Linked DNA regions of Drosophila melanogaster. The gene in region 1 interacts genetically with each later gene. Each region holds a gene or a part of one and is shown in the gene's direction. Other genes may lie near its edges. The genes, in order: nopo, lok and Uev1A.

What was found.
Region 2: of nopo (region 1) and lok, changing one suppresses a phenotype caused by changing the other (phenotypic suppression), as found in Drosophila melanogaster (one study listed by BioGRID).
Region 3: of nopo (region 1) and Uev1A, changing one suppresses a phenotype caused by changing the other (phenotypic suppression), as found in Drosophila melanogaster (one study listed by BioGRID).

Annotation. Positions count from the first base shown.
Region 1 is NT_033778.4:18,178,519-18,182,348, forward strand, and holds the start of nopo (no poles), read left to right. Parts: upstream 1-2,098; 5' UTR 2,099-2,203; coding exon 2,204-2,319; intron 2,320-2,378; coding exon 2,379-2,594; intron 2,595-2,652; coding exon 2,653-3,006; intron 3,007-3,066; coding exon 3,067-3,124; intron 3,125-3,179; coding exon 3,180-3,299; intron 3,300-3,355; coding exon 3,356-3,559; intron 3,560-3,621; coding exon 3,622-3,830. Other genes in the region: CG5726 (uncharacterized protein), read right to left, coding at 1-15, 953-1,314.
Region 2 is NT_033779.5:20,059,877-20,063,476, forward strand, and holds the start of lok (loki), read left to right. Parts: upstream 1-1,545; 5' UTR 1,546-1,844; exon of another isoform or gene 1,845-1,905; 5' UTR 1,906-2,000; coding exon 2,001-2,187; intron 2,188-2,271; coding exon 2,272-2,429; intron 2,430-2,668; coding exon 2,669-2,777; intron 2,778-2,857; coding exon 2,858-3,295; coding exon of another isoform or gene 3,296-3,309; exon of another isoform or gene 3,310-3,442; intron 3,443-3,501; coding exon 3,502-3,600. Other genes in the region: barr (barren), read right to left, coding at 1-476, 536-847. UniProt on the Drosophila melanogaster protein: May have a role in germline establishment.
Region 3 is NT_037436.4:5,364,282-5,368,111, reverse strand, and holds the start of Uev1A (Ubiquitin-conjugating enzyme variant 1A), read left to right. Parts: upstream 1-1,886; 5' UTR 1,887-1,955; coding exon 1,956-1,983; intron 1,984-2,550; exon of another isoform or gene 2,551-2,758; intron 2,759-3,026; coding exon 3,027-3,169; intron 3,170-3,830. Other genes in the region: Pfdn4 (prefoldin 4), read left to right, coding at 168-212, 338-709; membrin, read right to left, coding at 794-1,307, 1,377-1,513.

The DNA of each region.
Region 1 (3,830 bases):
TACTCCATTGACTCACTGAAAATTGCAAATACAATTAGTTTATTTACTTTTCATTTATTAGTATGTTATAATAATCAAGTCTACTACTACTTCATAATGTTAAAGTTTGCACTACAACTGTGTTTAACACCCCCACTGATATAACGCATAGCAGCATTGTTTGATAAGCCCAAGCTGCGAACTATTTGTTCAGCAATTAACTCGAGCATGAGCCTGAGAGAATCGGAGGGAAAAATGTTCACTTTGAAATGATTCGATGGCGCCGATGTCTCTCTGCCCGTCTTTATTTGTATGAAAAGTTGTAAATTTTCAAGACACGCTGACGTTCGAGCAACCTGGTCGCAAACAACGAACTCGTGCACGAACACATATACACAAATACAGTGCTTTTCAGATTTATAAATCGATTTTTAGACATTTAATAAAATTGAAATGTATATGTAGAAGGTCGCAAAAACTTTTTCGAACCTAAAAATAATGAAGTAAGAAGAAAAGTTTACAAAGTTGCACTTTAAGAACCCAAGGGTTCTTGAACGCGTAAAAACAAATTAACGTTTGAACTTGATTAGTAATTCGGTTTCTGCATTTCAAGCATTTCATTATTGGAATAACTTATAGAATGCTGTAACCTATGGGCGAACGCCACAAGCTCCCAAATTTAACGAATTACTCATGCTACTTGTAATGGAATGTCATAAATATTACAATAAGGATCGGTCTTCGCCAGGCAGATATGTACTGCATGCATTAAGTCTTGTTATCACATGGCTGGCTTTGATGGGCTTGGGAGCTCGCCTTGCCCATATGCTATCGCACCGCACTGTACCTACGCCGGGTATTTACATACATCCATATGTATATGCGAAAAGAGGTGGCAAATAAACACACTACTTATGATATGATTAATCATCAATGAGCGAACCAACCAAACGGTAGAGATCGGCACACATACCAAAGCATAGACTCGTCGCGCACTATGTTGCAGAAGTCCGTTTCGATGGTCTTGATCTTGGAGTTCAGCACAATGCCATCGTCCTGCAGATCAAGGTTCCTCATCAGGGCGATGATGTGGTCGTAGGCATAGCCACCTGTTTGATTTTGATAGGCGGCGGGGCCAGTGTTCAGGATGGTACAAACATCCCGGAGGCGCGCTCCCGTTCCCTCACCACCGCCCCCGCTACCGACACCACTGTGCGAACTGTGACCACTGTCCACCGCACTGTTGTTGTAGCTGTTGTTGCCGTAGGAGGTGGTGTTGCTGCTGCCACCGCCGCCACTGTTGCTGCTGCTGACCATGTTGTTGGCCATTTCCATTTCTCGCCGCGATCACTGCCGTTTGTTGTTGTTATCGCACGGTTGTTTGTCTGTCCCTTCCACACACACTTCAGTGTCTGTTATATTGGTACGCGCGTGTGTGTGAGTCGTCGGTCCACCAAATAAGAATCAGCGTTGACAAAGGTGTCGAAATGCGCACGCCAAATGAAACACCTTTTCGCTCAGCTTCCGCTTTGGGTGCAGGTGCAGTTAGCTCACTGGGACCCACGGTCGATTGAAACGCAAATAACGAACGAAATTAAATGCACAAATTTATAACTATTCCTATTTATTATTGCTATTTGACGACTTTTAAAAGAGGTGGAAAAACATCGATGTGTTGTGTTCTTTAAAACATCGATGTTTCTCCACCTCTAGATAGCATTGTCGCGATATCGAAAGCACACGGTGTGCTTTCGTAAATAGCGCCACAGTGCTCCCGCTGTTATCGATAAGACCACCATGGGGCTAAAGTACGGAGCATAAGTAGCTGGATTTAAGATGGATTGGCAGAATAAAATATGAAATTTATATCCACAGTATATCTTAAGAAGTAGGGTTTAAAAAGTATCCACACATACATATCTTTCTAAAATTTAGGATGAATTTTAGTTTCAGTGGCTGAGTAAGCGTATTTGTAAACATTATTTGTTGTTTCGACTTAAGCCAAGTTAGTTAGCAATTAGTTTGTCGTGGAAATATCTATCAGCTAACAGTTATTGTCTACAATCGATTCTTGACAAATACTGGTGTGGTGAATTCCGCTCATTGGAGCATCGTAAAATCGCCATCAGTCAGCTGTGTTTCGTTGGGCGCGCAAACTGTTCGGCGTGCGTTTATTTGTTGTTCTTTTGTAATAACTATTTTTATGTAGTTATTTGTGCCAAAAATGTTGAACTTAAACTGCGTGATATGCGCCGAATTGTTTGGCCAGGCCGACGAGGTTTTTGCCACAGTTTGTGGTCATATGTTCCACCACAACTGTCTAAATCAATGGCTCGATCGGTAAACAACGCATAAGGATATTTCTGATTCCCGACAATAAAATCAAATATCTTTCGCAGATCAAAGACCTGTCCTCAGTGCCGGAATAAGTGCACTACCCGCAACATATTTAGGGTCTATTTCAATCTGGCCAACTTGGATGTGAGCCACATCGATGTTGGTTCACTGCAGGAGCAGCTGGACAATGCGATGTTGTCCATGAAAATGGTCGAAAAAGAGCGCAACAAGGATGAACAGCAGATTCGGGATCTGAAGGAAACACAAAAGAAGTGCCTGTATGCTTTTGTATACACATTGCCTTAAGTACCAGACTGATGCATTTCTCATTTGCAGCAAAACCATAGCCGGTTTGGAGCAGAAGGTGCAAAAGAAGGATTTTCTCATCAGCAGCTATGTCGAGCAAATTGGCGTCCTCAAGAGTGATGCCCATGTCGTTGATGGGTTGCGCAAGGAAAACAAAACATTGAAATCACAGATCCAGAGTATGGAAGGCATATCGGCTATTCTGGCGGCTGGCTCGGCGGATGCCGACCGCTTGCTCAAGAACGAGGCTGATCCACATGTCCTAGCCAACTGGGTGTCCACTCTCAAGAGGGAGTTGCGACAATGCGAGAGCAAAAAGACGGAGCTCAGGAATGTAGTGAAGGTGGTGCAGAATGATCTGCGAAAGGAGATCGAACTAAAGCGGTATGCTCACAACATTCCAAACGTGGTTTTTATAATTGATATGTGCTCATTCGATTGCAGCAAGCTGGAAGAGCGTGTTTCACACCTGGAGAGCGACCTTTACCAGGCGCAGGAGAAGGTTTGCTGAGCCTTCTTTAACACAATTTCGATTAAACATACTATTATCTTTTCAGCTACAAGCTTTTGAGAACAAGACCGCTTACTTGGACTCACCAAATGCCTCTTGTGGTCTGAACAGCAACATTTTGGCCCTTAAAAGGGAGGAAAGGCGTACCACTATTTCCCCTACAGTTGTGAGTAGACACGAATAAACGAAAATATAAGCTACTAATATTTTGCTGCCCTACAGAAGGAGAATATTAAGCGCATCGAAGAATCCACCTCCCCATATCTCAACATTAAATCCAGCAGCGTCGGGTTGGCGCATCTTCTTAATACTAAGGGTAACATTGGGCTGGCCAAGTCTAAAATATCGCCCATCAAGGGAGTCGGTGGCGGTGTGTCTATGACCAGCGGAACCATACGGAAAACCAGCAGTGATCTCAGTGAAAAGGTAAACGCAATAATTTTGCCGAATTCCACTTAACCATTTAAAAATTCCGTATATTCCCCCAGTATTCAATCTTCAAGAAGCCAAGACTGCTGCTGGGAAGTTCAAGTAGTTCTGCGTTGACGGCCACGACGGGCTCAAATTTTGTCTACAATGGAATGGGCGGTTCTGAGAAGGTTGACCCCTTTGCGCAGCGCGCCGAGGAAGAGGGTCTTTCCACAATCAGATCCTCGACCGCCCTTTCCCGGAATGTCAACCAGCGTCTTAAAGCCGG
Region 2 (3,600 bases), on another chromosome or scaffold:
GCATTGAGTGTAGTGTGGTCCTGGACCTCCTCGGTGGACTCTTCGCTGTTCCAAAAATTGTAGGTGGTACGCAAGCGCAATTCAGAGTCGAAACTAGGAAGAATGTTGTGCATCAGACGATTGGAAGCATTTATAGAGCCCACAGTGGAGTTCAGCTTGCCAAACACAGGATCCTGCAAGGGAGCCGTATCCAGCCGGCTGTTCAGCGTTTCTCTGTTTTTGGTCACGGTGGATATGGGTTTCTTTTGCCGTTTGGGCTTCGGTGCTGCTTCTTTTGCTGCCTGTTGCGCTGAGTCCTGACCCTCGCCAGTAGCCTGTTCACCTTGGGGGCCATCATCATCCTCGGCAGCATTTATTTGCTTATCCGTAAGAGTTCGTGCACTCAAGCCAGCTGAAATGCGCATGGCGTCCAAGTAGATGGAGTCCACACGCAGGCCGTAAACCTTGGAAGAGGCTTCTAAAGAGGAACCAGCCATCTAGGGTATAACATCATGAAATTATTACATTTACATAAACTGAATGAGGCAAAACCCACCTTGAAGTTGCTCATGCGCTTGTGATGGTGATCCAGCAAATTGGCCAACGAATCGATGAGCATCAGGTTCCAGGCGTTGTCCTTGCTCACCTTGTTGCCATTGTAGAGCTCCAAGCAATTTTTGATGGTCTCATTGTCCTCGATGGACTCCAGAGTGCTCGACCGGTGATGCTGCTGAAGGAGCGTGCGACGTCGGGCTTCCCGCCTTTCCGCCTCGTCGTCGTTAAAGGGGGTTAGCATGCGGGACACCCCCTCCTGGTAACTGCCTACTGCGGACCGCCTGAGCGGAGTTTCTAAGCGGGGCAGAGTCATCCTTTCAAGGAAGTGGATAAATCAGAGATGAAGTCAGAGAACAGCACAAGGAATTTTGGTTGCCGTAGGCTGATGGTTTTGGAGAGTGTTAATAAGCACACTCACTTTTAATAATAGCTGTGATCCCAATTCGACAGTTTTGAATTTTTTGTTTTTTGATGATTTGTTGATTGTATTTTGTCTATTTCTGTTTTTGCGCTGGTATTGGTAATAGTTTACAGTTTCTTTCAAACGACGCCGCAATTTAGGGCTGCATTTCAGTGTTGGTTAAAACTAAAGGTGTGCCAAGCTAGCTAGATAATATGGACAGGAAAATCGCTAAAGAATTAGCTATAAAGTATTGCGGAATATAATTAACTAGTATAAACATGATACATAATTTTATCATATGAGAAAAATGAAATAAACAAACTTAATTTACACCTTAAAGCTTCGAAATCGAATAAAAACACGATAGCTTACAATGGAATTTCTTTAAGTTCAGGGCTGCACAGGTCCTGCCAGTGCTGAATGGATTTCAACAATGGATGGCCGTTAAATTTCAAATACATGTACCATATTAAAGAAACTACGATCTGTAAAGGAATTAATCTGTTTCAATACTTTTAGTTTTTTATATAATTTTCAGTCCGGTAGTTAATTAGTATTTTTTCTTTTGACAATAAAGTCTTAACCTAAGCAATATTTAATTTGTAAAAACCCTTAATTTTTCCTTGGGACTCTTGCCAACACTGGCGCTGATAATCACCCCATCCCTGGAAGGCGGCAACTTTTACACACACTGCCGCAGAAATTGTAGTCCCTCGCGCAGTTCACATCGAACCAATGTCGTGATTTTTGTTAGTTTTCGTTGTTTTCGTCTGATAAACTCTAAATAACTATCAGCCAGCGCTGTGCGAAAAGCTCGATGTAATCGAATTGGGCAGAAGAAACGCTCAGAGATTCAAACCCATAGCTTCTATAGATCTATAGCTTTTCCGAAGATCGGACTCCTCGTGTATGTGTGCATTTCTGCCTGTGGTAGTGCTGGAGTAACTGGACATTTCGAATTTACGCAGTTCCAGGCAAACCTAACGGGTTTTCCAGTTCGACTTGCGGAATAGCAGGAATACGAGATTACGGGGCTACGGAGTTTCGGAGTTTTGGAATCACTATGGCACGCGACACACAAGGAACGCAGGGAACCCAGAGTCAGGCCTCCAATATCTGGACGCAGGTGGAGAGCCAGCCGATGGAGAAGATAGTCTGGGGTCGATTGTACGGCAAGAACATTAAGATCAAATCGCTGGGTACGAGTTCAAAATACCGAATCATTTATACGCATTCGTCCTTTTCTGTTGGTAACCACATTTCCTCCTGTTTTGTGTCCCCATTGCGTGTGCTCCTCATGTATTAATGACGATCCCATGCTGAACTGTTTGCAGATCTCAACAACGACGAGTTCACCGCAGGACGAGGGGAGGCCAACGACTTGATCCTCACGCTCAACGATTTGCCCGAGAAAATCCTGACGCGCATTTCCAAAGTGCATTTTATCATAAAGCGGGCAAACTGCGAACTTACCAATCCAGTTTATATTCAGGTAGGTGGAAGTTCCAAACCCAAAAGCTCTGAAGGAAGCCTTGAAAAAAAAGATAGCAAATTCAGAACCCACAAGAGCAGAATTCAAATTAAGTTTTATTTATGTTTTGTTGAGATTATCAAAAAAGGTAACTTCAATATTGAATATTTCCCACAATTAATTTACAAAAAGAAGTTACTATTCCGTATAATTCCGTATATTATTAAAATGTAGTAACCTTGTTTCCGCCCATTTCGCAGGATCTCTCACGCAACGGGACGTTTGTGAATAACGAGAAAATTGGCACAAACAGGATGCGAATCCTAAAGAATGACGACGTAATTTCCCTGTCCCACCCAACGTACAAAGGTAAGCGATCGACAAGCAGGTATAGCTATCGACAAGGACTCGCAAGTAATTTGATGTTTTGCACCTGCCCTCCCTTGTAGCCTTTGTATTCAAGGATCTCAGCCCGAATGAGTCGATCGGGCTTCCCGAGGAGATTAACAAGACGTATTATGTAAATCGCAAGCTGGGATCTGGAGCGTACGGACTGGTGCGTTTGGTCTATGACACCCGCACCTGCCAGCAGTTTGCGATGAAAATCGTTAAGAAGAATATGCTCTCTGGGGCGCGACCCAGTACCAATTTCAGTGATCCCGACCGGGTGCTGAACGAAGCCAAGATTATGAAGAATCTTTCACATCCGTGCGTGGTTCGCATGCACGACATCGTGGACAAGCCGGATTCTGTGTATATGGTGCTGGAGTTTATGCGCGGCGGCGACCTGCTTAACCGGATCATCAGCAACAAACTACTTAGCGAGGACATCTCGAAGCTTTACTTTTACCAAATGTGCCATGCCGTCAAGTACCTACACGATCGGGGTAAAACAAATTAGTTTTATTTGGGTTCGAATGTGTTGCTGATTAAGCAAGCCGTTCATTTCTGTTATGCAAATAAGTAAGTCTTCGGAATGGTCATTGAAAACGCCCTTAATTGCAAATCATTCCTGCGCCTTTACGAATTTGCTAGTACGACTACTGCGAACACATCAATCGAATTATTCAACTAACTAGTTTCTACCTTTCAGGCATCACCCATCGTGACCTTAAGCCTGACAATGTTTTGCTGGAGACCAATGACGAGGAGACCCTACTGAAGGTCTCCGATTTCGGGCTGAGTAAGTTTG
Region 3 (3,830 bases), on another chromosome or scaffold:
AATCACTTCTGTAAAATAGCCTAACGCCTCGTTCTCTCTGTTAACTGCTCTCCGTTTGTCAACACTAAAATGTTAAACAAATAAAATTTTTTGCGAAGCACCGAAAACAGCAACTGTTTGTAAAATATCATAAATTATTTATTAAATTAATTAAAACCAACGGGAAAATGGCAGCAAAAGTAGCGAGCGGCACGAACAAAGTGTTCCAGAACGTGAGTATGGGTGAATCATCAAAGGACAGCTGACTAAGATGAAAAGTAACCTCACTTTGTCATGGTTTTTTCTGTGCATCTGCTCAATTGAAATTTATGATATATATTTTAAATCGCATTTTCAGCACGATGACGTGCACATCTCCTTCGAGGATCAGCAGCGGATCAACCGCTTTGCGAAGCACAACGCCCGCATGGATGACTTCAAAGCGGAGCTGGAAACGAAGCGCAATGAGCTGAAGAGCTTGGAGGAGGCGCTGGAGGAGATTGAGCTGTTCGACGAGGACGAGGACATACCGTTCCTGGTTGGCGAGGTGTTCCTCTCGCACAAGCTGGAGAAAACACAGGACATGCTGAAGGAGACCAAGGAGCAGGTGCTCAAGGAGATCGCCGGCGTGGAGGCCAAGGCGAAGGTTATCAAGGCGGAAATGGACGAGCTGAAGGCTCATCTGTACCAGCGGTTCGGCAGCAATATCTCACTGGAGGCCGAGGATTAATCCACAATTGATCAATTGTTAATTTAACATTTTACAAAATAGAGTACATTTAATTTAAACTCAACTAAACGCGATGTCTTCAGATTAGAGCACTAGGAAATAGATGATCAGGGCGATGATAAGCAAGGTGACCACCACTCCTCCGATGAATATCCGACGATCCTCGACCAGCCGGCGTTCAATAAGTTTCATCGTGTGATTGGACAGACCCAGTGTGCTGCCTATCGCCTGGATTCTCTTGTGCGCTCCGCCCAGCGTCATTCTCTGCGAGATCAGGCTCTCGAGAATGCCGCTGCCCGAGGCAATCATGTCGTCCACACCCCGATGGGCGTTACCCAGCTGCGTATGATGCTGCAGTTCGTAGTCCAATTGCAGGCGCGTTTCCTCCGGCTGCGCGCTGTTTGCCGTGAATCTGTGATTCAGCAGCTGTTCCCTCTCGGAGATCTCCTGCATCCGTCGCTGTCTTCGTTCCCGCGCCGTCTGCAGTGATGTCTGCAGGTGTCTCAGGTCATATTTCAGCTGATCCACACGAAGTTTGGAGCTTTGTCGCTGCGAAGGTGGCACCTTATACAACAGCACATCCAACCGATCGCAGTTTCTAAACACAAAAGATTTATTTAATAATACAAACTCCTCTTGGGATAATATATATCATTGTAGAACTCACGCGTTCGCCTGGGTAATCTTCAATTGAATGCCGTTTTCCACGTCAAGCGATTCCTGGGCACTGAGCTGACTCAGTCGCTGGAAATCGCGCTCGATGTCCTTTACCACATTGTTGGTTTGGTGGTACAAGCTCTCCATGTCGTTACACCTATTGATTCCGCATTAATTTATGGGCCCGAGAATATTCGCAAATTAATATTTAATCGGTTGCAATTGGTTTGTTTTTAAAAAAGCTGACGCGTTAACATTGGACAGAGTGTCATGTTAGTTAACAGCACTGATAGCAGAGCAGCTGGCTGCCGTTTTTGGTATGACCATATATTATGACAAACTTATCAGCTAATGCAACTATTAAATTTCCTTTTTATTTTCAGAGAATATGCTATATATTGTTAAATAATGATTTTTAATTAGTGACCAAATATTGCACTTGACGGCGCTGTTAAGTGTTACCACTGTTAACGGTGTAAAAATCAGAGTTGTTAAGCAAGCCAAGCAAAACCTAAACCGCACTGGTCACATCGCACTGGAAACGCGTTAGCACACTTTTACGGTATTTTAGCACTTAGCATTAACCACAATGGCGAATACATCAAGTACCGGCGTTGGTAAGAAATAAAATTGATAAATTAGCAATTTGGCAGCTTAAAAATGCGATCCCCGCACGCCCGGAGTTGTTGGCCATCCGTTTTCTGCATTTCCCGCTGACCGGCGGCGATTTTTCCGCCGCTACGGACCCGACAAGCGGACCGCAATGTGATTGTGTGTGTGGTGCAAAACGGGCAAAAAGAAGACGAAAGCAAGGGCGAAAGACGAAAGCCGATAAAAGCGAAATGGGCGAATGGAAATTTATTTTCGCCAGCGGACCACGCTGCTCTTGCAATTTTCCTTGGCCGCGTTTGGCGTTGGAAAAACTCCGTTGCAATTGGGCTTCGTGACTTGACATTTTCCGAAATATCATCCCCGCTCCTTCCTCACTATGTGGCTCTCGCTCGCTCGCTCGCGCACGCTCTTCTTCTTGCCTTCATACTTAAAGTTTTTTCTTTATTTTCCTTATTTTTTGCACACTTGCGTTTTTGCAAGCTGCCTTGTCTTTTCTAATTAAATTAGCTGCCATTTACATTTGCCTGGATTGTTTTTGCAAATGCAGAAATTATGCTTTCGCCCCGCCCCCGCCGACACACCCTCCCCCCGCGCCCATCGTGCTTAATATCTGCGCTTCGCATTTTTTTTTTTTGACTTGTGTTCTCTGCACGAAAATGCGTACAAAGTCACACGGCCGAAAACAAAAACAACACGAGAAGCAGAGCGCAAAACAACAACAACACGTACCCATATGACCCCACACTGAGAGGAAAAGTCGCCGAAATATCACCGAAAATGGTTTATACCATAGAAAATGTGTAGAACAGTCCTTACTAGTTTGTTTCTAAATAGATAAAACTGTCGTTTATAATTATATATATGTATCTTATCTGTACGAGCCCGTGATTATAATTATTTAGAAAGCTAAGTACTTTCTTGCCCCGCCAACCAGAAAATTAAAAACAAGCTGACATTTAACTTAATGACTATATTTAAAGATTTAAGTTTTTCAGTGAAAATGCATTATGTCATCGAGTTCTCACCTCTTTGCCGTTTCACATTGCAGTGGTGCCACGGAATTTCCGCTTACTGGAGGAGCTGGATCAGGGCCAGAAGGGCGTGGGCGATGGCACCATATCGTGGGGCCTGGAGAACGACGACGACATGACGCTCACCTACTGGATCGGCATGATCATCGGTCCGCCTAGAGTAAGTTTCCATATCGATTGGACTTTCCTCGCTACGTCACCAGATAAGCCCGGTTTATTAGGCAATTCTGTAGGATTATTGACATCTTATCGCTTAGATTGCGCAGACCATTCAGTTTGGATAGCACCTTGTATCTTTGAAGGCAGTTTATCTCTTCAGTGCGATGGAATTTGATAATATTTGCATTTCATTAGCACCGCTGATGCAACTCATTGTGAGTGTGGGTTTCAAAAGTCATTGGCTTCATTAGCTTCTTATGTGGTAAATATGAATATAAAATGTACCTCTGCTAGATTTTAATCTTATATGAAAACTACAAGCTGCAATCTGGGATTATTGCTAGAAAATATAGGTATAGAAACGCTCGTGCTAATTTATTCTTATTTTATTCACAAGAAAATATTCCACTTTACATGCATTTATTGGGGAAAACAAGGCTCTAGCCTTGAATTACTAGCAAGGAAAGCGGCGGAAAACTAAATTTGCATTTAATTTTTGTATAGTCTAGAAGTGTTGCGCGCGCCGCCGCATGAATCATTGAGGAGTTTGGGTGGCAGGGTCTTCTAACAGAGCCCCAACTTGGTTTAGTTGCATTGGCAACTAAAGTGGAGAAGCGGTGGACTAAGGGGAATGGGAGCGCCTGACTCATCGACACTCTGGC